4 linked regions of the Danio rerio genome follow. The protein of the gene in region 3 purifies or fractionates together with the protein of the main gene of each other region. This does not show direct contact. Links are inferred from orthologs where the notes say so. Each region holds a gene or a part of one and is shown on either strand. Other genes may lie near its edges. The genes, in order: sec23a, nup107, sec13 and mios.

Evidence for each region.
Region 1: the proteins of sec13 (region 3) and sec23a fractionate together in Homo sapiens (co-fractionation; 3 studies listed by BioGRID and IntAct, with this or other methods). This does not show direct contact. The link is inferred for Danio rerio from reciprocal best matches to the Homo sapiens genes SEC13 and SEC23A.
Region 2: the proteins of sec13 (region 3) and nup107 purify together in Homo sapiens (affinity purification with mass spectrometry; 8 studies listed by BioGRID and IntAct, counting the BioPlex papers as one, with this or other methods). This does not show direct contact. The link is inferred for Danio rerio from reciprocal best matches to the Homo sapiens genes SEC13 and NUP107.
Region 4: the proteins of sec13 (region 3) and mios purify together in Homo sapiens (affinity purification with mass spectrometry; 5 studies listed by BioGRID and IntAct, counting the BioPlex papers as one, with this or other methods). This does not show direct contact. The link is inferred for Danio rerio from reciprocal best matches to the Homo sapiens genes SEC13 and MIOS.

Annotation. Positions count from the first base shown.
Region 1 is NC_133192.1:11,321,660-11,329,591, reverse strand, and holds part of sec23a (protein transport protein Sec23A), read right to left. Parts: coding exon 7,881-7,932; intron 4,289-7,880; coding exon 4,202-4,288; intron 3,772-4,201; coding exon 3,616-3,771; exon of another isoform or gene 1,710-3,615; intron 1-1,709.
Region 2 is NC_133179.1:23,334,452-23,342,383, forward strand, and holds part of nup107 (nuclear pore complex protein Nup107), read right to left. Parts: intron 7,462-7,932; coding exon 7,382-7,461; intron 7,031-7,381; coding exon 6,971-7,030; intron 6,888-6,970; coding exon 6,742-6,887; intron 6,659-6,741; coding exon 6,610-6,658; intron 5,028-6,609; coding exon 4,958-5,027; intron 4,872-4,957; coding exon 4,756-4,871; intron 4,664-4,755; coding exon 4,474-4,663; intron 4,384-4,473; coding exon 4,271-4,383; intron 2,936-4,270; coding exon 2,833-2,935; intron 2,285-2,832; coding exon 2,124-2,284; intron 625-2,123; coding exon 499-624; intron 416-498; coding exon 302-415; intron 1-301. UniProt on the Homo sapiens protein: Plays a role in the nuclear pore complex (NPC) assembly and/or maintenance. Required for the assembly of peripheral proteins into the NPC. May anchor NUP62 to the NPC. Involved in nephrogenesis.
Region 3 is NC_133197.1:32,950,496-32,958,427, reverse strand, and holds part of sec13 (protein SEC13 homolog), read right to left. Parts: intron 4,890-7,932; coding exon 4,756-4,889; intron 1-4,755. UniProt on the Homo sapiens protein: Functions as a component of the nuclear pore complex (NPC) and the COPII coat. At the endoplasmic reticulum, SEC13 is involved in the biogenesis of COPII-coated vesicles.
Region 4 is NC_133191.1:51,756,878-51,764,809, reverse strand, and holds part of mios (GATOR2 complex protein MIOS), read left to right. Parts: intron 1-721; coding exon 722-787; intron 788-864; coding exon 865-1,023; intron 1,024-2,833; coding exon 2,834-2,986; intron 2,987-5,496; coding exon 5,497-5,701; intron 5,702-5,813; coding exon 5,814-5,943; intron 5,944-7,932. UniProt on the Homo sapiens protein: As a component of the GATOR2 complex, functions as an activator of the amino acid-sensing branch of the mTORC1 signaling pathway. The GATOR2 complex indirectly activates mTORC1 through the inhibition of the GATOR1 subcomplex.

The sequences.
Region 1 (7,932 bases), on a different chromosome or scaffold from region 3:
TACTTTGTTGTATTACTGAGAGGTTTGCACAAGAGTTAATACAAGCTGTGCAAACATTAAAGTTTGCTTTGGTTGACGCTGGACATGACCTATTAACTCTTTACTAAAACTGAAACTAAATATATAAAAACTAAACCGAAATGTGATCACAAATTATAAATCAAGTAAAACTAACAAAGAACATTTAATTGAAACAAACTGCTGCGTTAAAGTAAAATCTCATTTAAATATGCAAAACATTAATAACCTTGTCAGTCACATACACACACACCACCAGACATCAACTGAACGCCATATTGAAGGGCCAAGTGCACTTAAATGTTGGCTGCAATACTAAGAATGATGTTTGATTTGTTATGCTTCCTGGCAAACATAAACCTCAGCCGGGCTATTAAACTGTATTACTTGGCACAAGAATTGCTTGTTTGTTTGTTTCTTATACTTACAATTACTAAATGTCATATTTGGGCATATTTTATGTCACAACTGTTGCCATAGATATCATAAAAACACAATAATCCACCAACGTTGCTAAGAGGGTTCTGGAGCAAAGGTAAAATGATGCCCTTAGAAATTAATTCTTGCTCATGAGATTATCACTTAGCAACATGATAAAGTCAGATTTTTTTTAAATCAACTGTGAGTCCCGCCTTACATGTTTCACATGCATACTGGAGAGTGGACAGCAGCTTATAAGGGAGCTGACTTAGGATGGAGCAGGTTTTAAAACAATAGCTTGTGGTTTGATGCTTGAGCTGATGCTTCCATTCAACAGTGCAAATTAAATAAAACTAAAATATTGCATAAAAATATTTGCAAATAAAGCACTGTTTCAATCTAATGAGTCAAAATGAATCAAAATCAACACTTCCTGATAAACTGGAGCCTAATAGCCAAACCTTTTCTAAAGAAAAATGTCATTTGCTGCGGTAAGAGAAGCCACTGTAGGCCTTTTTTCTTATATAGTAAATTTCTTTTGCCTCAAAAGACAAAGACAGGACTCTCTGTGAATAGGCAATGACTTTTGGATGCTGTGAGACCACTTTTTTGGAGTGTAGGGGCACGAGACAGTTCTGGAGGTAATATTACTGAACCACTTTGATCACAGACTTTGGCTGAGGCATTTTAGAATGGCCAAACCAACATTTCAGAAGTTTTACAATGTGGTCGGTCTGCTGATTTGTCTAATAATGCCGTTCCATCCCTCCCATTTTTGTCAACACATGATCAATTAAAACAAAATCACGACTATTTGATGAGCATGCTAAATTATTTGATAAATTACATCATAGTTTATGCACATTTGGTAACCCCTGCTTAATAAAGGGACTATAACAAAGAAATGAGGAATGAGGGAATGAGCAAAGTTTATCCTACTCTTACATCCAATTAGGCTTTCTAATATATATTTTAAGTTTGGATTGCTGTTTTCTGAACATTGAATATTCAACCTTACATATGATAATTATTCTATACGAGGCTTGAGTAAATAATGGGTTATTATACTAATTGGGAATTTGTATAGTTTTTACGGTTTTACTTGCGTTGCTTCACTGCCGTTTACAAGTTCTCTCTCCCATGGCATCATTAGCCCCTTTCACATAGTAATACCGGTAAATATACTGAAAATTACCAGAATGACCTCAAAAAAGCGAAATACCGGAAAATTCTGACACCATTAACCAGAAATGGCCTCTAAACAGCTGCACTTTTATTTGGAAACATATGACTATATTACAAACTCTGTGGATGGATCAGTATTGTGAACAAATGACATATTTCAAGTCAGCAACAAAAATCTGACATCATCTGCCCCATGAACAAACTTACATTTCAGGCTGGACTAGCCTATATTAGGTGGCATAAAGGGTCACTGACCAAATTGCCAATATAGCTAAGTAGGTTGCGAGCTTATTATAGTTCAGTTTTGACTTGTTTTGTTTCTGCCAGCAGTATTTGGTTTTAATAATTAATTTCTAATAACTGATTTCTTTTATATTTGCCTTGATGACAGTACATAATATTTGACTAGCTATTTTTCAAGACACTTGTATTCAGCTTAAAGTGACAGTAAAAGGCTTAACTAGGTTAATTAGGCAAGTTGGGGTAATTAGGCAAGTCACTGTATAATGATTGTTTGTTCAGTAGACTATTGAATAAAAATACTGCTTAAGGGGGCTAATAATATTGAACTTAAAATGTTTTTTAAAAAATTATAAATTCTAGCCTTTCTTTTATTTTAGTCTAAATTAAGCACCCCAGGTTATGGTAATTAGTAGGGATGTAACAATATTGTAAATACCATCATACCGCAATAGTAATTTTTTTCAATATTACCGTAGTCGCATGACTCAATAAAACTAGATTTCTGAGAAAAGTTTGCTTAGGCAAATGAAGCGAATGGGAGGTAGCGGGAACTACAATTCCCATCAGCCTAGGCGTGGCCATCATCCTTTGCGGTCTGTTGTCACTACAGATCCAGTAATGCGGAAATGGAGTGTGCTGCTAGTAGCGTGAAAGAAAAAGAGCTGGAAATGATCGAACCTAAAGCGGGTTTTAAATCGGATGTGTGGAAGCATTTCGGTTTCTTTCTAAAAAGATACGAAAAAGGAGAAAAGGTGACAGACAAAGACAAAAACGGTATGCAGGCACTGCCAAACTGTGGTGAAATATAAGTCGGGAAATACGACTAAAAACAGTCATGGGGACTGCAGAACACAGCACACTTGTTAGATTGATGCAGACATTGACTTGTACCGTAAAGAGACCTCTATCTCACTCATGGCTTGTCCTCTCAAGTGGTGGAAAGACAATGCACAACGTTACCCACTGCTGTCAACCTTGGCTAAATCATATCTCTCTGTCCCAGAAACTTCAGTCCCAAATGAGAGGGCTTTTTTCTGTTGCAGGGGACATGCCCAGAGATCCCAGCTTTTACCAGATTATAGTTATATGATAATTCCTTAAAAAACCCATCTCTATCTAAGTGAGTGAGTGATTAAATGTTGAATGTGACGAGTTTTCAACAATACTAAATTGAAACTTTATTTTTTTTATATGGTTTATTAGTTTTTTGTTATTAAAATTGAAAAATTGAAGTTCCTGTTTCGAAACTTACAGATAGATGGATGGATAAATACAGATAGATAAATTTGTATGTCATTAATATGTTCAGTGCTAAGGTAAATAAACACTTTTGGCACTTTTTTCGAGTCTTTTCATTAGTTTTGTTTTTCCTGTAAATTATTCAATAAATACCGTACCGTGCCGTTTATAACGAGGTATTATCGTACCGTGAAATTCTGATACCGTTACATCCCTAGTCATTAGGCAAGTTGTTAGATAATGGGAAAGAAAAAAGAGCTTAAAGGGACTAATAATTTTATCCTTAAAATGGTGTTTAAAAATTAAAAACTGCTTTTACTCAAGCCGAAATAAAACAATTAAGACTTTCTCCAGAAGAAAAAATATTATAGGAAATACTGTGAAAATTTCCTTGCTCTGTTAAACATCATCTGGGAAATATTTGAAAAAAAAAAAAGAAAATCACACAAGGGCTAATAACTTTGACTTCAGCTGTACATTTCCTGTGGCATGATTTAATGTTGTTTGTACCTGACTGCCGCCGTGCTCAGTGTCGATGTAGCGTGGCATGGGGAAACGAGTGTGTAGAAGCTCCTGAGCATCATCGACTGGAGCCTGAAGCAGGTGGCGGAAGTTCTCATACTCGGGCATGTCCTGGTACCCGGCTTTACGCCACTGAGACACAGTCTACATGAGGGGAAAACACAGTGCATCTGTCACAACTCACACAACAACAACAAGCCAAATCTGAACACTCGTCTTGTTTACTGGTGCAAGTGTGTTTGCTGAGCTGTGACTATGGGAACATCTCACTGCATTTGTTTCAAATTTCACTTCATTAGCATGTACTTCAGCGAGACACCTACAAGTGTTTCATCAGAAAACGTCCGTCCTCTGAAACGCAGCCAAGTTTAAACTTGCTTCAGTTTACTGGCTTGGATTTCATGCGCACAGATTATTGAACCGTTCTCATAGCGGGACTGAGAAAGCAGACTGTATTCTTAATTATTGAAAACATGAAAAAGACTTGGCGCTAAACCAACGTCTATCTAGTCACCGGGGAAATAAATCACAGCAGGAAAGCAGGACGCGTGCTGTTTCTCCTCCTCAATCTTACCTCTCCGTGGTAAATCAGAATCTGGAAGAAAGTGTCCATGAGGAGGATGCGGTCGGGCAAGATACTGCTGCTGTCCAGCAACACAGGCTACAACAACAAGAAACAAAAGCATTTACTGGACTGTCACTCTCAATTAGATGCTTTGATAAACATCTTTCCTGAAAGCTCAGCTGCTTCTGGTCTCAGCGTCAGGGGAAAAACACTGAGCCCTCCATTAAAGCAGATTAGAATAATACAAGTCAGTGTGAGTTGCTTGTTGTATCATCATCTTGATGATGTTTAATTCACTCTACTAAACTAAAGAAGTTTCTACAACCTATTAATGAAGTAGTTTTTACCCTCACAAAATGTGTGAGAAAATACGTGCAACTTTCAGGCCTTTTAGTAAAATAGGTTTAAAAACAATAACAGCCAGTGATAGTCTGAGCTTTGAATGGTAATAAGATCACAGCGCACTAATTAAACGTACATTTTAATCTGTTGACTCAGGGGACATCATGTGCACAGTTATCATGACAAGGCACTTTAGATTCAATGTCACATGTCATGGCACATGATGTACTGTGAATACTTATTAACACTTGATGTTAATGGAATGTTTTTGACGTTTGATAATGCTTCCAACGGCATTAGAAAAAAAGTTTAGTCATTTAACTCAACTCTTTCCCTTCCATTAACATAATTTTCCATGATTTGACATTTATTACCTGTCTTTTATTTGATGCATTCAAAAATCTTTTAAATAAAAAGTCATTTGAGAGAGCTCTTGCCCCACTATTAACAAAACTTTCCAGCATTTATTATAAAACACATTCAAGCATAGTTGGAATTGTCTTGTTTAAGTACTCCAAAAACAATAAACAAAAGAACTGCTTATGAACATCTGCACCAACACAGGGTTTCTGCAGATATCATAATGTCAAATATAAGACCATTAAGTACTAAGGACCCTATCATCCACTCGGCGCAGTGTGGCGCAAGGCGCGGCGCAGTAGTCTTTTGGTAGTTTCAGCTTGGCGCAAGAGTCGTTTTGAGGCGTTGCGCTACGCTGTTTAAATAGCAAATGCATTAGCGCTCATTTGTGCGCCAATAGGCGTTCTGGTCTAAAAAGGGAGGCGTTCTGAGGCGGACCGCTGGCGCGTTGCTATTTTGAGAAACTATAATAGATTTTTCATTAGACCGAAAGTAACCCGGTCTAAACTCCGGCGCAGAGTTGCGCCTCGCTTACGCACTGCTTAATACGCACAAGAGAGCAATAGGCAAATATCTTTACATATGAAAAAATTAAATATTAAGGATATATATAGTATATAATAAGAATAGATATAGAATATAAATATAAATGATTAAAATATTACAAAACATATTATTTTCTAGCCTACATAAATATGAAAAATCACTGCTTTTATGTCTTCTGATAAACCTCCCGAGATGAAGTTCATTCATAACAATTTGCTTTTGTATAATGTTATTATTATTAGCAGTATTATTTATTATATCCATATTTATATTTGTTTTATTAAAAACAAGCTTAGATTTGCCCACCTGTCAGGTTTTAGACCATATGGGGCATGGCAGGTGTATTTGGAAATAACTCAGTATTTTGACCACACTTGGTCATTATTGTTCATTTATTTGTTTGCTAGAAATTAGAACTGAATTTAGAAATAGTTTTGAAACAAATATTTTCCCTATCCAAGAGCGAAACTGAAAGTAGATCCATTATCTCTCATTCTCACGCAGTAGATGCCCTGTTTAACAGTTTTCTGTTAAAAAACTGTTAACTGTTTGCTTGTGAAATGCTCAGTTTTTCCACTTAGACTTACTTTGCGTCCTGTAAATAGCGAATGCGCTCTTGGCACGACGCAGCTGGCTCTTAAAGGGAATGGGAGATGAGACTCTAATTGGTTTATTCTCAAAACACACCTATAACTCATTAAGAAAATAAACTCAACCCTTTTAGCCCATGCGCCTTGGCGCAAAGCAGGTTTTCCCGTCCGTAAATTAGCAAAAATGCGTTCTGACACGCCCTGAAAGCGTTTGACCCCTGCGTTTTGCGCTCTGCGCATGGACCGTCACAATAGAGCCCTAAGTTTACGTCCTATATTACAATATTAAAAACACACATACACATAAAGAGAAAATGAAGAGAAAAAAAAAATCACAAATTTAGTGACAAAATAAATGTATTTAAATTAAACAGTACTGAAGACAGGTTGGATGCACCACTGAACCTCTGCTGGCTGCACGTGTACCTCATGAAACGAACGAGGCTCTTTAAAACGACAGGCGGTCAAAAGAAACTCACCACAAAGTCAGACGAATAAACAGAAGTAGGAAGTTTCGGTAACCAAGTCATATCATTAATAACATTCAAGGTTAACTAGTTATTTTTTTTTATAATTTATTATAATGATTATAAATATTTTTATAGCCATTCAAGATTTTTTAAAGCTAAAAAGGGAATAATGGTCTAACATTGCTGACCATTATCACCAATACAGCTTAGAAATAGGGCATTAGTATATTGTAAACAGACAGGTTCAAATATTCCTTTCCAGTTATTAAAGAAATAATTTGTTGTTACTTAATTTTAGTTTGTAACTATTACATTGTTTTAAATTCAAAATTGTAATATATACATCAGTGTAAAACCTATGAATGGTGGCAAAACATATTCTGTAATATTAAAACCCCCTGGGTCTCCACTTTTGCATGGCCTCTCTTGTTGGTTTTAACAAACTTATCCCTATACCTCAAGTTTTTCTAAACGCTTACAAAAACTCTCCTCCTTTCCCACTGCTGTTGCAATTTCTAGCCAAGAATTATTGTTTATCTGGTTATCCCTATGATCATGCATGCACTGATCATAAAGATGTCTGTACAGTCATACCTGTTTCAGACAAAATCCCGAAGTGATTCATATTCAACTCAAATCAAATGCGGCGCTGCTATTCGCCCGAGTTTTTATGTTTATTTCAAAGTGTTTTCATGCCTAAACAAAGTGAAAGCACAGAAAAGACTCACATTTAAGAGCAAGGGGCGGCCCCTAATGGTTCGGCGGTATGGGATTGCGTATTCACCTTATTCTCAGCTGACGAGTGGGCGCTGCCATTTGAATCTTTTGTCTCGCGACTTCCGGTCACATTCACTTCCATTCATTTTTTGACGTTAACAACTGCTCGTTACGCTGCTTGATGTTGCAATTTAATATTTTCTTATTATATTATGCTACTTGGTCTGTGTAGTCATGCAAACATTTGTTTGTTGAGCAAGTAGTTTGGCCATTTTCTGCCGTTTATTATTCCTGGTCATTTCTCCCATAGGAGACTGAATCGGAAGTTCTAAGACAATCGCAAAAACAGGCGCACTTCCGCATTTTAGAATAAGGTCAATAGGAAGGCTTGACTCTTTAAATGTTTATTAGTCACCCTTCAGAGAAAGACAGAAAATATGGGAGAAATACGGGAAAATACCTTTACAGGATGATAGCGGGATAGAACTGTAAAATACGGGAGAATCCCAGGAAAAACGGGAGGGTTGACAGGTATGGTTTGGACATGAGGGTGAGTATCTAACAGAATGATCATTACTAGGTTAGCTGACACTTTAATGGAAACCCTCAACAGTCAGTCAAATCCCGCAAACCATAAATGTGTTGGAAGGTTTGCATGCTTACCTCTGGCGGTCCGTTGAAGGAGTAAGCATACAGAATGGGCTGTACCATTATC
Region 2 (7,932 bases), on a different chromosome or scaffold from region 3:
CGTGCTCCAATTAAACGGCAAAAGATGCCGTCTGACAGTAAGCATCCCATTCCATTAGATCACTTTTTTTTTTTTAATAATCAGTCCAGGAGGTGGAGTTGACCGACAGCAGTATTAGTTCAAAACTAAAACTATTTTTTCTTTTCAATGCAGTTCAAATGTGACTTTTTATACGCATCAGCTGGCGACCAGAAGTTCAAAGCATCCTTCATATGCATACACGAAGCATAATGGGTAATTTTGCGTTGTACAAAAGGTCTAAAACTGAATACATTTAAGCTTATAATACATTTAAGCTCACCTCTCTGACATCCACCATCCAGCCTCCGTCTACAAACAGCAGCACATTATAGATCCTCTCCTTCACATCTTCAGTGAGAGCTCCTAGACGCCCCTGCCAGTTCTCCAGCTCTATCTGGAGGAACGTGACACAGAAACACTATTACAGATCAAAGCCAGATGTGTTCAGTCTGCGGTGTGTGGATGTCCCGTCCTGACCTTGTACTCAGCCTCTTTCATCTCATGAGCCACTTTCTCTGTAAACTTGGCTTGAGCAGGAGCTGTGGGCTTCACCGGAGGACAGTTCATGTGCTTGAACCACTCGTTAAACGCTTCGTGTGCTTCCTGTAAAAAAGAAGAAAGATCTTCCCACTTAAAGTGCATTCATTATAGTGACAGGCAACTGAGCTATCGCCAAACACCTCCCCTCAACCACAGATGAGCCAATGACAGTGGATTATCAGATGCATTGGGCTCTGAAATAGGTTTGGAAAAACACTGAAAGATCCAAAAGCTAAAACGTTGTGCTTGTAACAATGATTTCTGGCATCTTAAGGGAAAGGGCAATTGAATTATTTTTTTATATTTAAATTTGATTAATTTCCATTTTTATAAGCATCAGTTTTTGTTTTCAATGCTAAGATGACACCACAGAAGATGGGCCAAGTATAGCTCCATCCCTGTTCAAAGTCAAGACAAGATTGTATTTATGATGTTAGTTTTAGTAAATAAAGTAGTAAAGATCAAGGACATTTCTTTCTATTTGCTGTATTGAAAACACTGAGTCACCACTTTGTGTTGTATCAAACTGAACCGTCAATTTAGTGAACAATTACACCAGGGATGTCAAACTCAATTCCTGGAGGGCCGCAGCACTGCACTGTTTAGTTCTAACTCTGCTCCAACACACTTACCAGTAGTTTTCAAACAAGCCTGAAGGACTCAATTAGTTTGATCAGGTGTGTTTAATTAGGGTTGGAACTAAACTGTGAAGAACTGCGGCCCTCCTGGAATTGAGTTTGACATCCCTGCATTACACCCTTTGAGCTAATGTTACCTAAACAATAATGAACTATTGTTATATTATACAGGGAACATAGATATGTAGTGGTAACATTAGCTAGCTCTCACCTATCAGTGCCTCTATACTAAACTGGGGTTAAAATGTCAACTCATTTATTGGTACAAGAACAGTGTGGATCCTGGATCCTTTGACAACTGAAACATGCTTGCATTGGCATCTGTAAACCCTTGCTTTCGAATTGTTGTTGTTACCCACCATATAAACATTATCATCTTTTATAAATTAGTCCACAACATATTTAAATGACACTTGAAGAAACACTCCACTTTTTAACAAATAGGCTCATTTTGAAACCCCCGTAGAGGTAAACATTTTTAACATTTTAATCTATTAATTCAATCTCCGGGTCTCACAGGAGCCCTTTAGCTTAGCTTAGCATAAATCACTGAGGCAGATTAGGCCATTAGCATTTTGCTCAAAATTTAAAATAAAAAAAGTTTTAATAATTTTCCCATTTAAAGCTTGACACTTCTGTAGTTGCATCATGTACAAAGACGGACAGGGATTAAAAATTGCTACGTTTTAGGTTGATAAGGTTATGAAGCATACTCTCATTCTAGCGTAATAATCAAGAAACTTTCCTGCCATATCATGGCTGATGCAGGCGCACTGATATTACACATTGATGTCATCCATTTACGTAGCAGGTAACTATTTTTAGGTGTTGCAAAATATCGCTGCGTCTGCTGCAGACATTGTACAGCAGAAAAGTTCCTTGATTTGACTTTAGGTCAATTCATTGTACAACAGCACTACTCACCAGATAAGCACGAATGCATAGATGTTCACGAATGGCATTCTCCTCTTCTGCAGGAAGTGGTGTGTCCATACCCTGCTCCTCCCACTGCCGGTAGATCTCACGCATGGAGTCTTCGGGCACTTTGGCGAAGACCATCTTAGCAGCGTCATGCTTCTTAGATGCTGTATTGTACATGAGTATAATAGAACAACACTGCAAATCAAAGAACTGATCTAATCTATCTGCTGTGTGTTAAAAAGAAACAAACATTCAATGTGTGATGTATGCATGCGAATCAATGAAGATTTCTATTTCTCTATTTTAGTTTTCCTTTAAATTTGTTTATATCTGCTGTTTACAGCAGACTTAAACTTACAAACTGGTCTGTTTACAAATGGCTTCTATTGATTCTCATTTGCAAGGTACTCTGGATAAAAGTAGAGAAATGTAAATGCTAAAATTCTTTAAAGGATTAATATGGATTTGTTACAAAGTGAGAGGATCTGAAATACATTTTTATAATGTTTGTGAAAGTCTAGTTTATTTAGTGCTACCATTAGCCATTTTTTACACAACCTACAAATGAGCTTGTACAACTTATCAGTGTTTCAGTGAAATTGTGTGTGAGACTGTAACTAATTTTTAAAGAGGAGGCAGTTGATGATATATAAAATGACCAATTACAACATTAATAGATTTTGATATACTATTCTGGCTAGGAAAGTCTCACCTAAGAACTTCCTCATGATGGCGTTGCTCTGTTTAAGTGCTTCAGCTCGTTGAGCAGGATCAAACACCAACCAGTCAATCACATCAATCTTCTGCTGATCCTCCTGTACAGAGAGGAAAAGTTGAATAGCAACACCTACTGCAATGGCTAACCTTAACTAATAAATGAGCTATACATAATGAGTTTATTAGTTTTTTTTTGTAAGCTAATTTTACTTAACTAACATCAATAAATCCAGTGCTTTCCACACATAGATTTTACTTGGGCGACTTTACTACTGCCTAGGTATATTAACGGCCGTCCAAGTATATTGGAGGACCGTTTTTTATTTTTTTTTAAATAATATTATCATCCTTTTACACTTTTTTCGCATCCATTAATCTGTTTGATTAACTAGTGGAAAATCTTCTCTCACCCAACACATTTCATACTGCTTATTGTGTGTGCGCGAGAAAACTGTCAACAACACAGTCTCACATGCTCTGCAGAGACCAACAGAGAGATGCCTATTTGAGGTTTAAAATTGCATCTGGCGACTCCAGCCAGTGTTTGTAAATCTCCTATAATATCCAGGAGTCAACTTTTACTTTCGCTTTCTTAAGTTGTTGCATTTTTGTATTATTCTTTTAATAAAGACTACTTTCCGTTTGGCTTCGCAGCTGACAGCGTGCACTGCGGCGAGACAGAAAGAAAAAGTAAATAACAGATTCTTTAAACGATAAAAATTTATATATATTACTATATGCTCAAAGAGAATAAAATGACATTTAAACTGCCTGTAAAATATATGTACACCATTAGAAATGGTCAATAAACTAATTTACCCTATTTAATAAAATCTAAACTTTCTTTTCTAATCATTAATAAATATCCATTTTAGAGATATGTCTGTTTTTATTCATTTTTCCTGTCATTTATTTCAAATTTGTTGTATGTTATTAATTTGATAATGTGAATAACTTACTTATTTTATACATATCTAAAATGCTTTGGCAATACTGTACTAAATATCATGCCAGTAAAGCATGTACATAAAGCTTTTTAGTTGTAGGAGTATTACATTCTTTCAGTAGTCATTTATCAGTTAATAGAGGCTAATTAGTTAACAAGTTATAATGGAAGGAGCTATAATAGAAGGAGAAGAAAATTCAAGAAAGACTGCAAGGATGGAAAAATAAAATATTTATATTTTACCACTGTATTTATATTGATTTTGTAGTATAATATCTGCGGAGATGTAAACATGTTTAATGTTGCAATTTTAAAAAAACACAAAACTACAATTTAACATTAAACATGTTTACATCTCCAAAATCTTATTTTAAAATCCAAAATCGTATGGATTAATGTGAAATTTTAAATAAAAAAGTAAACTAATATTTTTCCATCAAACCTGTGGTAAACAAGTTTTCATAAATGAAGAGTTCATCATTAGTACCACTGTAGTTGCCGTGTCCAGTGCAGGCGTCAGGTCATGGTGGGAAAATTCATCTGTGTCTCTCTCTCTGATGGTTTCCACTACCGTTTTTGTGATTGCTGCCACTTCCAAACCTAAATACCACAAAAAAATTGGTGACATTATAACCATTGGTGTATTAAGTATGTAATGCAAGAGGACTCTTTAGTGCAAAATAAACCTGCCTGCTTGTGTTGCGAGCTCCAGACAGTGTTTGCGCTGCTCAGTCTCAGTGACTTCCTCCAGGAACTGAGCATATTGTGACACAGCCAAATCTGCAGGAAGGTGACTGACGTAAAACGCAATGAGCTCCACCTGCTTTTCCTTCACCAACAGCGAGATGTAGGCCTTCAGGACATCTACACACACCTCCTCCTGATGAGTTTAAAACAAACGTGAACATTTTACTCACTCAGTGGTAATTAATAAGACATGGTTTTTAAAAATATATATGCGTTTGTATGTACCTTAAGCTGCATGCCCAAACTGCGATAAAACAACACTAAATGTGACATGAAGCGTAAGAGATGGGCTGGCAAAGGTGTATTTCTTCCCAACCAATCACTGAACTCCTCAAGAAGACCTTTAGATAAATTAAGAGGATGTTATTTCTTTGTTAAATAATAAATAAAAAAAAGAGTCTCAAAATAAAAATTTTCTGAAACATACCATCAAGATCTCCAAGAATCACAAACTTCTGAATCACATGGTAGTGCTCCTTGGTTGCGTCCAGAACTCTCTGTCAACAAAACATTTGTGAAGGATCAGAAAATAAACACCAATTTCCCTCTTTACATGACATTACCAATCAAAAATTGAAAACTTTACATCTGTGAAGTTATCACCCCATAAAAACAAATAATCACCAAAACTATGCCATTCGTTTGTGCTGAATTGTGCCGCAAAAATATTAAGCATTATTTTTTTGACCGTGTGACATCACTTTCCACCCCGTATTGCTCAAATGACAAATCAGCAAAGGTGCTTTTTCTGATAAAAAAAGATTTCAGAATAACTTATATTGGCCTAGACTATTTTAATATCTAAAAATAAAGCACCACAAACAAAAATTATATCAGCACAAACAAATTAAAATATTTTAGAATATCATACATGTGGGGTGGCTGGTGATGTCATTGTCTTTAATTCAATATTTTACTAATAGAAGCAGCACTAACGACACATTCATAGGTACAATCCAGTACAAATAAAACACACACAAACGAGACTATTTTGGTAAATATGGAGCAACTAGAGTCGAGACACCTCTGGATGATCTAGTATTATTTTTAGGCCTACAAATAATATTTTTTTGCAGTACAAACGAGCACAAATTGTGAGGAAACGAAAATAATCAATTCATGCACGAATATAAATATAAATATATTTTGGTTATATGTAAACAATGAAAATAGATAAAGTGTTTGCTTAACGGCACAAACCAGGCACAAACGAATGACACCGGTTTGGTGCGAATAAGAGGAAATGGGGTGGAGAGTGACGTCATGGCTCCCCAAATATTTTGCTCTTATCTAAACGAGGAAAACAGATATAGAGTTTGCTTTAAGGGCAAAAAAAAGCACAAATTGAGTACAAACGACCTGTGCTGATTTGAAGTCATTTGAGCAACATGGGGTGGAAAGTGACGTCACACAGTCAAAAAAATAATGCTTAATATCTCAGACCCCAAACCGGCACAAATTTTCTTTTTTGCGACACAAATCAGCACAAACGAATGGTATAGTTTTGGGGATTATTTTTTATTATGGGTGCCATCTTCACGGAGGTGAAAACTTTTTAGACGTTTTGCCTGTTTGATTACATGACAATGTTGTTTTTGGGTCTGAAAAGGCATACATTTTTCAAGTTTTTAAAAAAATACCCTCTTTTTTGGGGCAGTGAATAAACTAAGTCTTTGAAAGTGATGCCATTATGTTTGGGTGAGTGTAGATTAAAGCACAGCACAAACAAACACAACAATGACAAAGTTTGTGGTACTGTAGTTGGTGCTTAAGTATTTGCTAAAACTTCATCAGCAAAGTGTGGATTTACTTCACATTAGAACCAAATGTTGAGATTCATCTTGAACACACAGCAAACTAGCAGAAAGCACACCATCCCTTACTTACAAATACTGTTTACTATCAAGGTGACAGCTTGAAACACTGGCCTGCCATTGATAATATAGTGCTTTTTTAAAGTTTTGTGGATTGGTGTAAACACAGATCATTAAAAAATGTTGTCATGTACATTTTATCAAAAAGCTACATTGTTGTTGTCTAAACATTGTTACATATTAAACCTCATTCATTTATTCTTACCTTGGACTCTGTTGCTTGAATCTCTTCAAAGACTTTCTCCAGCGTCCAACTAAATAATAAAAAGAATTAATCATTAGGTGAAAAAGGATATAAAAGGAGAGAATGCATATTAGAAAGTCACTGTAGTCCTACTTGGTCTCCAGGAAGTCTCTGGGCAGCTCCTCCAGCTCTTCACTGCCCAGACCAGAAGAACAGATCTCCTGCTCGACCAGAGTGTCCACCATCACCCGGAAATAAGCCCATACTGTGTCTTCCCAGGACTCACACACCGGCAACAGCTGCAGGACACAAGCACATGATCAAATAATGACTAAAGCAAGAGGAAATGGTGTAAATATGAGTTAAAAATATGACTATTTACCTGTTTGAGGTTTCCGCTCAACGCAGCATAGATAGCCCTTTCATATTTGTTGAACTGCTCCTGAAACAGCAACATAAAGCAGACTCTTAACTGAAATATTTATAGACATTATGTAAAGAGGATTTAATGAATATTTTTATATTTTCTTTTCGAACTAATATGCTTATGCTATAAACCCTTTTATGTATTGAGCAGCAGAGTGATGTTTTAAACTTTATTCAAATATATTTGTACAGCCTTTTCCAAAATACTGTTACCAAAAAGTAAACCATAATAAATATATTACATGACCATAAAGTTTGACCAGCTCACAACCAAATTTACTATATTTAGGATTTTCTTTTCCCTCAACTAAAATTTCCCAAACTTTCTAGCGCATGGATTTAGACCTCAGATCTATAGTTTTCTCACCTCTTCTGCCATTCTCCAGCAGCAAACCTTCCAGACGCTGCGATGAGGATTTCCCTCCACAGGCTGAAGCTCACCACCCCCTGAACACACACACAGACAGTTCACTGTATCTGACTGGTAAATGTCCTTGACTTTCAGTTGATTATGACCACTGGATAAATAATAATAAAAATAGTAGTATTTTAAAGAGTCTGAAGTATTTTTAACTTCTAGCTAATTCAATATTCATAAATAAAAAAACATAATAAAGCATGCTAAAACTATACCCATGGTCATTTCAAATAACTACAATGTTTCTTTAAAATTACTGATAATTTACAATATATAAATGTAGTTACATTTACAGCAAGTGATTTCATTGGCAGTTCACCTAAAATAATCATCTTCACGCTTATGCTGTTCTAAACTCATATAAATCTCCTTGGCCCATCATTTAGCAATGACTGAACTGGCATTTTGATTATTTGATGTCATCTACAGATGTGCCATCTATAAAAACTCAGATGTGTACTAAAATTGCCTTTAGATTTAAATGAATAAGCTTTTAATGT
Region 3 (7,932 bases):
AAATTGTTTTAGGAATCTTGTTTTGAGTCTTTAGAAGACTTATTGAATTAGCACAAATTAGCTTTTGGAAAATATCAGGCTTTGCTAAAAGGCTGATTATTTTACCAACGATTAGAGTTAAAAGTGGTAGCCTTTTACAGATTTTAAAGAAAAATCTAAATATTAAAAAAGAAACAAAAGCTGGACCACAATAGATCAATGTTAAATCAAATGCTTAAATAATGTAGCCTAGTTTACAGCAAGCATCCTGTTTTTAGTTAGATTGTGCCATGTCATATACAGTAAGCCCGTCTGCTATTTTTAAATAAGATTTATTATTTGAGCAATCACCAGAACTATAAAAACAGTTTTATGGTATAGGTGTAACAGTATCGGTGCATCTCTAATAGATAGAAAGATAGATATATAGATATATAGATAGACCAATGGTGCTCTATTGGATTGAAATCTGGTGACTGTGGAGGCCATTTGAGCACAGTAAACTCATTGTCTTGTTCAAAAGACCAGTCTGAGATGATTTGCGCTTTATGACATGGCGCGTTATCCTGCTGGAAGTAGCCTTCAGAAGATGGGTACACTGTGGTCATAAAGGGATGGACATCGTCAGCAACAATACTCAAGTAAGCTGTGGCATTGCTTGAATTGGTACTAAAGGGCCAAAAGTGTGCCAAGAAAATATCTCCCACATCATTACACCACCACCACCACCACCACCGCCGCCGCCATCCTGAACCGTTGATATAAGGCAGGATGGATCTATGCTTTCCTGTTGTTGATACCAAATTCAATGCATGTCGCAGAAGAAATTAAGAATTGTCAGACCAGGCAACCTGCTGCAACTACTGCTGTAGCCCATCCGCCTCAAGTGCAAGAGGTTGTGCGCTCAGTGATTCTCTTCTGCAAGCCTCGGTTGTAAAAAGAGCTTATTTGAGTTACTGTTGCCTTTCTATCAGCTTGAACCAGTCTGGCCATTCTCCTCTGACCTCTGGCATCAACAAGGCATTTGCACTCACAGACCTGCCGCTCACTGGATATTTTCTTTTTTTCGGACCATTCTCTGTAAACCCTAGAGATGATTGTGCATGAAAATTCCAGTGGATCAGCAGTTTCTGAAATACTCAGACCAGACCGTCTGGCACCAACAACCATGCCACATTCAAAATAACTTAAATCACCTTTCTTTGCCATTCTGATGCCCGGCTTGAACTGCAGCAGATGAAATTGACCATTAATTAAACATCTTTTTAAAGGGTCACGAAACACCAAAACACATTTTTTTAAGCTGTTGACAGCAAGTGTGCCGCAAGCCTGCGTTTGAGTGAAGGTCTCGGCTGTTAGATCGCCCCCTGGGGGCTGGCTGCAGTACAAGTCATAAAGCCCGCCTCCTCCGTGTTAATGAAGGAGCCTTGAGCCCAAATAAAAAAATTAATTACACTTGCAATAAAATGTCCCTAAAGATGGTTCTGGTCGATTAAAGCTCTGGTTATTGTGCTGAAATAGGTGCAGATCCTCATTTTTGTAAACAGTTTGTTTTTAGCAGTAATTTAATGCTGGGCGTGTCATCGTGATTGACAGCTGTGATTGACAGTTTCTCAAAGCGCGGCGTCTGAGCTTCGGCAGAAGACTGAAGTGTTATTACTCGATTTCTGTGATATTTTACTATGACAAAATGAGTTCAGCAGTAAACTACAGTTTCTGACATACATGATCTGGTGGAACACTGTTTATTCGCTAAGGTCAGAGCTTTTTTCGGGCTTTATTAGTTTGCTAATACACGCCTAACCCCCCAGATAGCAAAATACACTGGGGCCAGTTGTTGCCTGCCGGAGACTTACCCCTCAGACTGACTACCTCTGCTGGACCTACTCCGGATGCCTGGACTCACTGCCCGATTCCAGCTTGAGTCAATTGAGCCAGATGCGGGGGCCGAGCGAGCAGGCGCTGCCGCATGCGAGCCGGAATCAGCCCGCGACGCCGCGAGTAGGTTATGTGCGCTGCTGCCCGGAGCTGGCGCGATTGAATCTTCATTATATAAAACCCTCACATTTGTTAACGTTATTACAACCATTTTTGTTGATATAACAACAAACGCATGCTACTATGTGAACGCAAAGTGTATCACTGAGTTTAACCTTTGAATAAAGATGCAAACAGCATACATAGCAATTATTTAAATAAAGGACAAAATAAATAACAATAAACCTGTATCGATTGCACAAGTATTAAATAATAATACAATTGAATACATTTTGTAGTGCACAAGAATTAAGAAATACGAAAATGACAATAAAACTGCACAATAAAATAAACCCATTTAAGTACGGGGAAAATACAGGAGATCGTTAGCAGTAATTCTCTTTATGTGTCTAAAATAATAATCTCCACGTTGATCTCCTGTGTAAGGTTATTTGAACTTGCTTTACAGGACGTCTCTGCATTTTAAGTTTTGGCATGTTATTAAGTAATCTACTGAATTTGCTGTTATAAATCATTATAAGGTTCTTGAAATCGAATCTTATATAACCTAATAGAGCTGTAAATGTTAGATATTATTTATTTACATCATTTACTGTTGGCGTTTTATTTGAACACTCCAGCTAACATTAAAATTATTGTAAATTCCTCGTTGCCAGATATAATGAAGGCATCGAATAAACCAAATGAAAACGGAGGCAAAAAATTAAATAAATAAACAATTCAAGCGAAAATGAATAAACAATATACTAGTGATGTTGCAGCAGATAGACATTGGATTAATAGTGCAAAGTTTTTTTGCACAAATTGACAAATTGCAGGGTTGGGATGTGTAAATATCCTGTTAATATTTAGTAATCTTGTTGTATTTATCTTCTAAACGCACGATTGTTCCCGCATGGTAAATCGTTATGGTGTGTAGGCTATATTTTGGGTTCTGTTGATGGCTAATTAAAAATAAAAACCTTTCTAAAAATGTATGTGTTGTTTATATGTTATTGTTCATATTTTACAAGTGTTATTTCTACCCCTATGAAGATAACAAATACCAACAACAAACATAACAATAAGAGAATATATTATTTGTGCTCATATTCAGGCTAGAGTGTATAAAAGATCGTTCATTTCTGCAGTCCACCATGTATTGCTTTTATTAAAGTTTAACAGCTTACATCACACCGTTTTTAAACCGTATATTATTGTGTTTTTTTAATGTAAGTGCTTCTATTTACATCAGTGAGCGTTTGTTATAGTGCACACACCGGCAGTCGAGTGAGAAGTTCGGGGGGCGTGGGTGATTTAACATAAAGCGTTTGGTTAGAAGCTCGACTCCGCTCATTTTCGCGGCTCCTCCTCTGGCTCCATCAGACAGTCCTTCTGCGCATGTCAAGGCTCCAATTTCAGCAGTCTGTTGCGACAGTTTGTGCCCGTCAAGCAGGCGTTTTGCCCTCAAGGCGTTCAATGGGAAAAGGGGCTGTCGCGTCGTCCATATTTTTTACAGTCATTGGTTGACAGTCGTATATGTGTCCCACACTGCTATAAACACTATTAGGACACATATATTTCACTAAAAAGTGTAAATTGGTTGTTTTTGCGTTATTTCAAGCAAATTTGTACTTCCGGTTTGAAACGAATTTTTGAAGCTGCGTCACGGTCATGACATAATAGCGTGTATTCCAGCGTGCAGACTGGGCGTCTGTGCCAGAGTGTGTCTTATTACGTCTTACAGCCTGCTGCATTAATGCATGAGTAAAGCTTGGTTCAAACCAATCAGCGCGCTCTATTGTGCAGCTTCATTAATATTTATTACTGTCACAGTGTTTAGATGACAGAGACGCCACGTTGTGTTGGCAAAACAAGCGTGAAGTGTTGCTTTTATAGTTTGCTGCCGTTAAGTTTTGTTTTCATTTTCTCTCTGTGAGAGCGCAGCTGGAGTCACGCGTAGATTACAGTGTACGCAACGCTCGACAACAATAACTTACGTGTCTAAGGAGGATTATTGTTTACCTGAGAGCTGTTCTCATCTGCAAACGCTGAGATCCGGATTCGCTTGTAGTCTCCTCTTAATAAAGACGCGGCTCTAGTTGCTGGTGATTGTCCTGTCTTTACAGATTTGGTAAGTGAGCGACCAGTGCTCTTTGTTTATTCAGTTCGTATTTTATTCGTATCGACCAAACTATTGCACCGAGTGTAAACAAGTTAGCACTACAACCAAACCATAACCTCGTGCAGGATTTTGTGACCGGAATAGCACACGCGGCTTTCTGACGCTACCTGCCGAGTGCATCTAAGTTTCCGGGAAATGCGGAGGGTTTTTTTCTCTCATTCGCCGTATCAATGCGGTATCAAACATTGCATAAAAATACACACTTAGAGCAGTTCCTTGAATCAAATATCTCATTTGTCGTGAGGGACATGAATGAATTCCCTTAATGAAAGAGCCAAACAGCAGTTAAAGTCCACCATTTAATCATTTGGCAAATAATTCGACTACAGATGTCCATGTAAACACAGTTACATTGTCCGCTGTGGGTGTGTGTTTTGATTCTGAAATTCAGCGCGCCCAAATACACTCCCACACCAAGCCTCTTTTCTTCCTCCGACACTCCCCCCTAAACAAAGCTGGACACGCCCACTTTTCTGACTTTTTCCAAAATAGAGGTGTAAAAACACCCTGCTGAAAAGAGGGGGTTTCATGGCCCTTTAAATAACCAAACAGTATTTCTTAGAGCCCTGGACATGTAAATATTAGGATGTTGTAAACTCAAAGGCAAAACTTACAGTGTGTGCATTGTTGATCTTCTTAATATCCCAGTGTCCGTCTCCAGAACAGGTTAACACTGAGATGGCCCCGTCTGAGCTACCGCAGGCCAGAATCAGGCCAAAGTCGTATGGGCCCCAGCAAACCGAATTGACTGTGGAAGAGCAAAGTGTTTGATTTAACCAACAGCATGATGAATGTCTGTCTCAGTCAGTATGTGCCTTTCCATTTCTAATTAAATTACACAAACTGCGAATTGAAAGAAAAATGACTAATGGAAAGCATCAATTTAGCAAAAATGCCCATATAGTGCACAAAACGTTTATGTTCACAATCATGAGAGTTTTTAGGCTAGTCAACAAAGTAATATTTTACAGAAGTGCAATGGATTTTTTTTTCATTTACAGGTTACATGATTTTTCTTAAAACATAACACATTTATTTGTAGAAACTGGCTTTCTTAGCACTGATGTACAAAACGAGAGGCTTTAAAACTCAAAAGGGATGATCCCTTTATCCAAAAATCTTGAATCCTCTGTAAAATCTCCCCTTAAAACAATGCATTTACTGCTCATTAATGCTTGTCTGACATGCATGTCTGCTTCTAATAAAAATAATGGCTAGTGTGTAGGTTGCAGATAAGCCAACTATTAAAAAAAAAATCACTATTATATACAGAGGAAGCAATACAATATGCTAGATTTCTTGCTAGTGGCTATTTTGAAATAAAGGGCTCTATTTTGACTGTCCATGCGCAGAGCGCAAAACGCAGGGCGCAAACGCTTTCAGGGCATGTCAGAACGCATTTTTGCTAACTTAAGGACGGGAAAATCCGCTTTGCGCCATGGCGCATGGTCTAAAAGGGTTGAGTTTATTTTCTTAATGAGTTATAGGTGTGTTTTGAGAATAAACCAATCAGAGTCTCATCTTCCATTACCTTTAAGAGCCAGCTGCGTCGCACCATTAGCGCATTGCTATTAACATGACGTAAAGTAAGTTCACTTTCACTTTTGCTCTCGTGGATAAGGAAACCTTACCGCACAGACATAAATTAGCCTTTAAATAATTAGTTTCGTTTGTTAAACTGTTGTTATACAGTTGAAGTCAGAATTATTAGCCCTCTTGAATATTAGCAAACCTTTTCCTGCCCAATTTCTGTTTCATGGAAAGAATATTTTATTAACTTATTTCTGAACATAATAGTCTCATTTCTAATTACTGATTTCTTTTTGTCTTTGCTATATTGACAGCACATAATATTTTATTAGATATTTTTCAAAATACAAGCATTCAGATTAAAGTGCAGTTCAAAGGCTTAATTAGAGTAATAAGGCAAGTCATTATAACGGTAGTTTATTCTGCAGACAATCAAAAATATATTTTGCTTAAGGGGGCTAATAATATTGACCTTAAATTGGTTTCAAAATATTTAAACCTTTCTTTAATCTAGCTAAAATAAAACAAATAGAAGAAAAAATATTATAGGAAATACTGTTAAAATTCCTTGCTCTGTTAAACATAATTTGGGAAATATTTAAAAAAAAAAAAAAAAATCTCAGGAGCGCTAAAAATTTTGACTTTAACTGGCAATGGTTTTGAATAATCGTGATTACAATTATGACCAAAATAATCGTGATTATGATTTTTCCCAAAATCGAGCAGCCCTACTATTATATATGTATTTTTAAGTACCAAAAAAAAAATCTAAACACATGCTTAAAATTCCAACATAATAGTGAAAATAATTAAAATAAATAACTTTAAATAATTATTTAAATTTTGCTCACTCGCGCAATCTGCTTGTCAACGTGTCGTGAAGGCAAAATCAAAACAAAAATGGCAGACAAACGTAAATGCAGTGATTATTCAGAGGCGAAGAAAAAGATTAGACAGTATGACAAAGCCTACCTAGATTTTGGTTTTATTGAAGGCCAAGACAAGTTAAAACTGATTAATTAATATTTTCTATACATATTACTATATATTAATATTACACAAACACACACACACACATACATATATATATATATATATATATATATATATATATATATATATATATATATATATATATATATACACAGTACATATGTGTGTGCGTGCGTGTGTATTTATATGGTGGGGGGGCTCCAATGTTTGTATATGTTCATGGGGGGAGCCCCAAAGAAAAAGGTTGGGAACCACTGGTGGTGTTGAGTTTTTTTGAACCTGTTTTTTTTTTTTTTTTTTTCAGGTGAGTTGGGTCATCTTTAGCACACAGTAAAATAGTACAATAAATAAAGTGGCATTGCAAAAAGGTGCATACACTATTTATGAGTTTGTCCACCTAACAATCCCATTTTGCACTGCATGAACAAAACTTTAGTGAGATAAACTGATAAAACAGATATTTTCCTTTGAGGACATAATTTAAAGTTGAAAACAGGTAATAAATAGCAATATAATCGCACAATAGCACTATAATACTGTATCTAGGGCTGCTCGATTTTGGGAAAAATCATAATCACGATTATTTTGGTCACAATTGTAATCACGATTATTCAAAACCATTACTGTTTAAGTCAAAATAATTAGCGCTCCTGGTAATTTTTTTTTAAATAAATATTTTCCAAATGATGTTTAACTGGAATTTAACCGTATTTCCTCTAATACTTTTTTCTCCTGGTGAAAGGCTTTTTTATTTTGGCTAGAATAAAAGCAGGTTTAAATATTTTGAAACCCATTTTAAAGTCTATAATATTAGCCCCCTTAAGCTATATATTTTTTGATTGTCTGCAGAAGAAACTACTGTTATACAATAACTTGCCTAATTACACTAATTAAGCCTTTAAATCGCACTTTGAATCTGAATGCTTGTATTTTGAAAAATATCTAGTCAAATATTATGTGCTGTCATCATGACAAAGATAAAATAAATCAGTTCAGAAATCTTCTTTCCATTAAACAGAAAACGGGAGAAGAGAGTTGCTAATATTCAGGAGGGCTAGTATTTCTCACTTCAACTGCATATACAGTTATTTTCCCACCTGCAAACATAAGAGAAATAAAAACAATAGAATAAAAATATGAAGCAAACTGTGCTTTATGCATCTTCAATGTCAGAAAAACACTTTAGCTGCAGCAGTCCTTGAGTCAAGAGCAGAAAGACATGTTCTCCATTTATTGTTTGATTAATAATTATAAAAACAGGCGGTAGA
Region 4 (7,932 bases), on a different chromosome or scaffold from region 3:
TCTTTTAGCATGTTGTTAAGATATTTCTTGCAAGTTAATATCAGTGCTTGGCATGTTTCTGAAAAATTAAATGATACACACTAGATTGAAGGTTTTAGCATGTTTGTAGCATTTTTCTATTATAATTTAACACATTACTAACATGATTTAGCATGTTTTTAAGATGATTTAGAAAGTTCAAAGCAGTGCTTGGCATGTTTCTGGCTTGTTTTAACATGATTTAGCAAAATGCTTTTGCACATTGCTAGTATGGTTTTAACATGTTAACATGAATTAACATTGATAGCAGGATTTAACATGTTGCCAATATGTTTCTGCTTTGACTTAGCACCATGTGCATTTGGTATTTAGTACGGTTTACCATGTTGGTAGTATTTTAGCATTTTTATTTATTTTTTGCTAATCTTAATTTAGCATTGCTTGCATGTTGTTAAAATGGTTTAGATTCTAGAATGTTGCTAGCATGTTTTAGCACGATTTATAACAATGTTAGAATAATTTATTTTAGCATGCTTTTTAATAATGCCAATCATGATTTTGCATTGCTATCCTGTTGTTTTGTTGGTAGGATGTTTCTTCCATGATGTTTCACATTGCTAGCATGATTTTAGCATGATGTTAACATTATTTAGCATAAATTTCATAATAAGATTGATTAGTTTGTCAGTATGTTGCCTTCGTCAGGTGAAAAAGTAATATGATGTGGTTTTCTGTTTTGCAGTATGAGAGTCGTGTGGCGGTCAGGGACAGAGTGGCCTTTGCGTGCATGTTTCTAAATGATGCTCAGGTAAGACCCGTTCACTCATACTTTCATCAAATCACTGTGCAGTATGTAATGCACTGTACTTTTTTCTTTCCCTGAAGTTGCCTCGTTACATAGACAAACTGACCAATGAGATGAAGGAGGCTGGTAACCTGGAGGGAATCCTGCTAACAGGACTGACCAAAGACGGAGTCGACCTCATGGAGAGTTACGTAGACCGAACGGGAGATGTACAGACAGCCAGCTTCTGCATGCTTAAGGTCAGCGCATGTCCAGAAACACTACATGAGGAAAAAGTTACATGAAAATAAATTATCTGCTCTAGGTTTAGTCTATTTATGTTTTGTATTATAATATACACTTGTTTTCAGAAGTTTGTGGTCACTGATGATTTTAATGTTATTTAAACTTTTAGCAAGAAAGCTTTTATTCCAGTAAAAGCAGAAAATGTATTTGTCTATTTGAACATATTGTAAAATGTAACTTATTCCTGAAATAAAAAAGTGAAAATCAGAGGTCTGAGAGTTAACAGGAAATCTTATGAAAAGTGAGCCATTACTCTTTCTACCACTGGACAATTCATCATTCTCATTATCTATCGGTTAAAGAAGGATTCCGCAGCCAAAATAAATGACACAAGCAGGAAAACAAGCTCTTTTAATTCTGACTTTGCACCTAATATAATATAGTATATCACTATTATTGTTTTTATTATAATTAAGGGTGTCACGATCCTCCAAATCCGCGATTCGATTACATTTTTGATTCTAAAGTCACGATTCGATTCGATTTTCGATTATGAATAATTAATTAATTAATAACGAATTAATTATTAGTAGCCTACCTTTTAAACTACCTGACTTGCATGGTCTTTGTTTTACCCATAAACAAATCATACAGTAAATGAATAAAGGCAAGATACACACATAATTACCACCTGTCAATCACTTTTTTCTGCGGGACTCGTGAATAGGCAGTGATCTGTGTCGTTATAATGGCGTCGGTAAAAAAGACGCACAACCAACAGGAACCAGCCAACAGTATCTGAGGTGTTCGCTAAAATGACTAAGTACTTGTGTGAAAGTAAAAGATGGAAGCAATCTACTGACTCGCTGACTTCCTTGACCCGCTGTCTCGAGCGCATGACAATGTGTGTGCGTCCTATCTGTGTGTGAATGAGTGTGTGTGGTCACGTGATGTGCGTTTTCAGCGGTAGTGAGTAAGGAGGGCTGCTCAGAAATGCTACACGACACTGTGGATGTGGATCGTTGTCGTTCTAAAATGCCATTTAAAAACAAAGACATATTAGTGTAAACAGGGCCTGAGTGTGTTTTTTTCGCAAGCGGATTTGCAACGGGTGCGGGGCGGAGGATCGCGATGCGCCCATCGTCTATCATCCCAAACGTAATACGTACATAGCAGAGCTTGCAAACTGTGTTTTTTTTTGACGACAACACGAACGTTGTCAACATAACTAACTGGACATCCAAAATACTTACACACCGGCGACTTCATTGAAAGAGGAGAGGATTTAAGCTCTGTCGACGGGTCTCCTGCGTCTGCAGTTTACCAAGCCCTTCAACAAGCCTGTTTTTTCACGCTTGGCAAGCCAAGCTAACGTGACATGGGGGCGTGGCAGCATCGACGATTCTATTTTTGATTCGATAATCGAAATTGAGCATAAATTTCGATTGATTTCGATTAAAAATCGAAATCGTGACACCCCTAATTATAATCTACCTCTCTGTCGTATATTTCAGGCAATTCCCTTTTTTTTATGTATATAGGTGGATCTTTTTTGGGAGTGATCTTTCAAAAATCATTCTAATGCTGATGATAGACAGGGCAACCTTTTTGAGCAATGCTATTGGGCAAAAAACCTTATGGGAAAAAATGTCATAAATGGGCAACCAGGAGACACAGAATAACTTATCAGGGCAATGGGTTACAAATACAATATTGTTGGTCATTCTAAATGGAAAAGTAGCCAATCAACATCATTCTGCCTGACAACATTGCTCAAAAAGTTGACCTGTACATCAACAGAATAATAAGTTTGTTGTGTTTTAGGGTTCCCCAGGAGAGGTGCTGAAGGACCCTCGGGTGCAGTGTTGGATCGAGAACTATCGTAACCTGTTGGACGCCTGGAGGTTCTGGCATAAACGGGCTGAATTTGACATTCATAGAAGCAAATTGGATCCCAGCTCAAAACCACTTGCACAGGTTAGCATCATGTTTCTTTCTGATAGTTGTTTCAAGTGCATACGGCAGATATAAACACTGCCCAAATTTGTTTTTGATATATATAATGGGTTATTTGATCAAAAATGAATGGCATGACACTTGGTGGGTAGTAAAAAACCTCCAGATGGCACTATTCTTACTTTAATAAAGGCCTTAAAAATGCTACATATATTTATGTGTGCATGTGTTTGTATGCATATGTTAAATTAAATTACATTTTAATTTACTGGTTATGACATTAGATTTTTCTGTCTTATTAGCCTCCTTCAGTTATTAAAATTATTATGCTTAATGTTTGGCAATTTAAAGACTATAGAATACACAAGACACGTCACTCATATAAATTTGATTGAGGAAAAATGTATCGGTCAATATAGCGAATGAAGCCCCGCCTTCTAGTACAGGAGCCAATCATTGATCGCTAAAAACTGATGATTCTCTGGGGGAGGGGCTTGAGCCAGATGTGAGTTTCTGCAAATTATGTCTGATTCGAATGTTTAGAAATGAAACTAAAGAGACGATTGTTGTTTAATTCTATTGATGATTTCTAATATGAAATTCTATCGTAAGCTTGGCAAGCAGTTTGGAGAATTTGATGTTTCCCAATTCAAACAGAATGCCCAAGCATACTGCCTGAGAGGCATTTCAAACATGGCCGCCGAATGAAAATGACTGGCCTATTGGGTTGATAAATCAATCATGAGTAAAATTGAGCCCTTTAAAGTTATTAAGGTCCTAATCGTGTTCTAACGAGGTCTTAAATTTTGTTCAAGCATTGTCCAAAGTGTTTGACTCCAAAAAAAGCAGAAATATATTTATTTTCCTACTAATATTAACAACAGCATGCTTGATCCACATGATTGGTTCAGGCCGGGGCGCGTCCGGCCAAACTCCTTCATCCGGGTGATGTCACGTAATTTGCGACAAACGCGGGAAGGTGATGTAATGCTCTCCACATGTAGCGAAACTATGCAAGTAGATGGCAAAATGGAAAAATGTAAGTTTGCATTCTCCTGGTTGGAGAAAGATGGGTTTAAACAGTAGCTGAAGCCTGTCGCTGAAAACAACCACATAATTTATTCTTCAAAGCTCATCTGAGTTCTGTTGCATGGTTGGGCTCCAGTGATATATTTAACTACAAATGTTTATTAACAACTGTTTATTAAATTAAACGTTTGATACTTACTAGAACTTGAGGTGCGATGGGGTCTTAAAATATTCTGAGAAGGTCTTTAAAAAGGTATTGAAATTACCTTTACGATTCCTGCATATACCCTGAAAAATATTTGAAAAAACATACAAAATTCACAGTAGGGTTAATCATTTTATTACTGTAAATTGTAGAAGTATTCCAAATAGTATCTTAAAATCTGCTCAAAATTCTAAATCAAATAAAACAAAAACACAAATATACAACTGAGCAAAAATTTATTGTAATAATTTTCCGGAGAAGTTTAATTTTAAGGCTACGTTCAGTTTTGAGTCAAGTGTGACCCTTAAAGATGGCTTGACGGATAATTATTATCGGTCTAATAGCAATATCAATTCATCTGTAATTTCTAGTTTATAAGATTTTTGTTTATATAATTTTTAAATGTCGCAGTGGGTAGCACGTTCGCCTCACAGCAAGAAGGTCGCTGGTTCGAGCCTCGGTTTCCTCCGGGTGCTCCAGTTTCCCCCACTGTCCAAAGACATGTGGTACAGGTGAATTGGGTAGGCCGAATTGTCCGTAGTGTATGAGTGTGTGTGGATGTTTCCCAGAGATGGGTTGCGGATGGAAGGGCATCCGCTGCGTAAAAACTTGCTGGCGGTTCATTGCGCTGTGACGACGCCAGATTAATAAAGGGACTAAGCCGACATGAAAATGAATGAATGAATGAATGAATGAGTAAATTTTAAAATTCTTTTTAATTTATTTGAGCACATTTACAGTAAAGCAGTAATACTGTATTTAAGTTTTCTATTTGAATATATATATATGAATGCAGCTGGGCGGCATGGTGGCTCAGAGTGCTGGCTGGGTCAGCTGGCATTTCTGTGTGGAGTTTGCATGTTCTCGTGTTGGTGTGGGTTTCCTCTGGGTGCTCTGGTTTCCCCCACAGTCCAAACACATACGCTATAGGTGAATTGAATAAACTAACTTGGTCATAGTGTATGTGTGTGAATGAGCGTGTATGGGTATTTCCCAGTACTGGGTTGCAGCTGGAATGGCATCCGCTGGGTAGAACATATTCTGGATAAGTTGGTGGACCCCTAATGAATAAAGGGACTAAGCCGAAGGAGAATTAATGAATGTATCTCTTAATGCAAAGCTGAATTTTCAGCATCATCACATAATACTTCGACAGTCTACATTGATATTATAATTCAGAAATCATTCTCATATCCTGATTTGATGCACAAGAAAGATTTATTAATTTTATATCCTATCCTGATCAATTTCTGTTGACTTTTGTTCCATTTATTGTCATTCTCTTGCATCTGTGCAGGTGTTTGTCAGCTGCAATTTCTGTGGGAAGTCTATATCATACAGCTGCTCAGCGATGCCACATCAGGGCCGTGGGTTCAGTCAGTACGGGGTCAGCGGGTCACCCACCAAGTCAAAGGTCACCAGTTGCCCGGGCTGTCGTAAACCACTCCCACGCTGTGCCCTCTGCTTAATGAACATGGGCACCCCTGTTTCCAGCTGCCCAGGTGACTGATGGATCATTTAAACTTCTGTTTGATACTATAATGTACTATAGTAATATCATATCTACAATAATATAATATTAATTTCTGAATTTCACTTATTTCATCATATCAGGCACAGGAAAAGCAGACGAGAAAGCTGATCTTACACGAGACAAAAAACTAGCGCAGTTTAATAACTGGTTTACCTGGTGTCACAACTGCCGGCATGGTGGCCATGCGGGTCATATGCTTAGCTGGTTCAGGTAAGAGCCATATTCATATACAATGCAATGATGCTGCATTTGGGGGACAGTAAATGTTTTATTTTTAAAATAAAGATAACACTTAGATTTAGCTGCTATGATTTAGCACATTTTAACACATTGCTAATATGTTTGAATATGACACTAGTGTTTAAACGCATAGCATGTTAGCATCATTTACCATTCCTAGCATGGATTTAATGCATCGATAGTGTTTCTAACTTCACATAATGCTAAATGATAATGCTAACATGTTTTTTTAACATGAATTTACACATTAATACCATGATAAATACAATGATGCTGCGTTTGGGGGTCAGTAAACTTTTTATTTTAAAAATAAAGATAACACATTGATTTAGCTACAATGATTTGGTGCTTTGTTTGCTTATGCTTTTGAGGTTTTAACACATTGCTCGTATGTTTGAAACTGTCGCTGTTGTATGCATAGCGTGCTAGCATTATTTACCATGGCTGCAAAAAATGGGTTTAATGCATTAAAAGTGTTTCTAACTTCACGTTATGCTAAATGAAAATGCTGACATGTTTTTTAACATGAATTAACACATTAATACCATGATATAACACATTAGCTCATTTTTAATCAGATTTGTAACAAATCACTGTTTTAGCATGTTTCTAACATGTTTAAAAACGCTTCTATGTTGCTACTAATTCTTATGCTGTGTTTACACCAGATGCGAAACGCGCGGATAAATCGCGATGTTCGTGCATAAATAGCCACGTGAACATTTGAGTTTACTTGCTTCATTCGCGCGTCAAACCCCGCTTCATTTGCACGTCAAATTCACTTCAGAATAGATGTGGATTCGCTTGATGGGCAGGGCTTCTATCTGCCCGGTGACTAGCTTTGTTACTAAATGGCTAACATGGATTTTATGAAGAAAATAACAGTGTTTATGTGCTTTATGAAGGCTGAAAAACAGTGTCGATAACTGCAGGGCCGTGTCTAAGTCCACTAGATCCTTTCAGAGGTGCATCCAGCTCTGTGAGCTCATAAACTCCTCCAGAAACTTAACCTGGATGATGGAGGCTTTCAGCGGTGCTTCTGACTGAGCCGAGCCCAGTTTGATTAACTTTTTGTCAGTGTCGGCTGGAGGATTTCCCCTGGGACACCAACAACAGGCGATACGTCACAATCACGCCCCCATAAGAGCAAGTTGCTGATTGGTTAACGTGGCGCGAATGTCCGCTGAAGTTCAGATTTTCAAACTCCAGCGATCAAACACTTAAAATATTCAATTCGCCTGTATCGCGCCACTCGCGCGAATCGTGCCACAGGATGTTTATTCGCATGTTTGCATTGACTTAACATGTAAATCACTTGCGCGTGACATGTGTTCCGCGTCTGGTGTGAACGCAGGATGAGAATGTGCTTAGTAGTAACTTTTCACATATTGTTAACATGCTGTTTAAACACAATTTGTCACAGCTTCCTCAATATAATATACTGGAAGCATGTTGTTATACATTGTTAGCATAAATTAACACACTAGTACCATCATAAAATACTTTTAAATTTTTTTTTTTTTGATAAACCACTGTGTTTTAACATGTTGCTTGCATGTTTTAACACACTTCTAGGATGCTGCTAATGCTTAGTATGTCCTTGCTTAGTATTATTTTTCACACATTGCTAACATGCTGTTTAAACACTATTTAACACATAGCTCCCTCACTATACTGATAGCATGTTTTAACACATTGTTAGCATGAATTAACACATTACTACCATGATATAACACATTGTTAGCTCATTTAACACATTGTTAGCTCATTTTAACAAGTTTTTAAACAAGTCAATGTTTCAGCCTGTTGCTAACATGTTTTTTCACACTTCTAGGATGCTGCTAATGCTTAGAATGTGCTTAGTATTAACTTTCCACACTTTGCTAACATGCTGTTTAAACACAATTTAACACAAAGCTTCCTCATGTTGTACTACATTGCTCGCATGAATTAAAACGT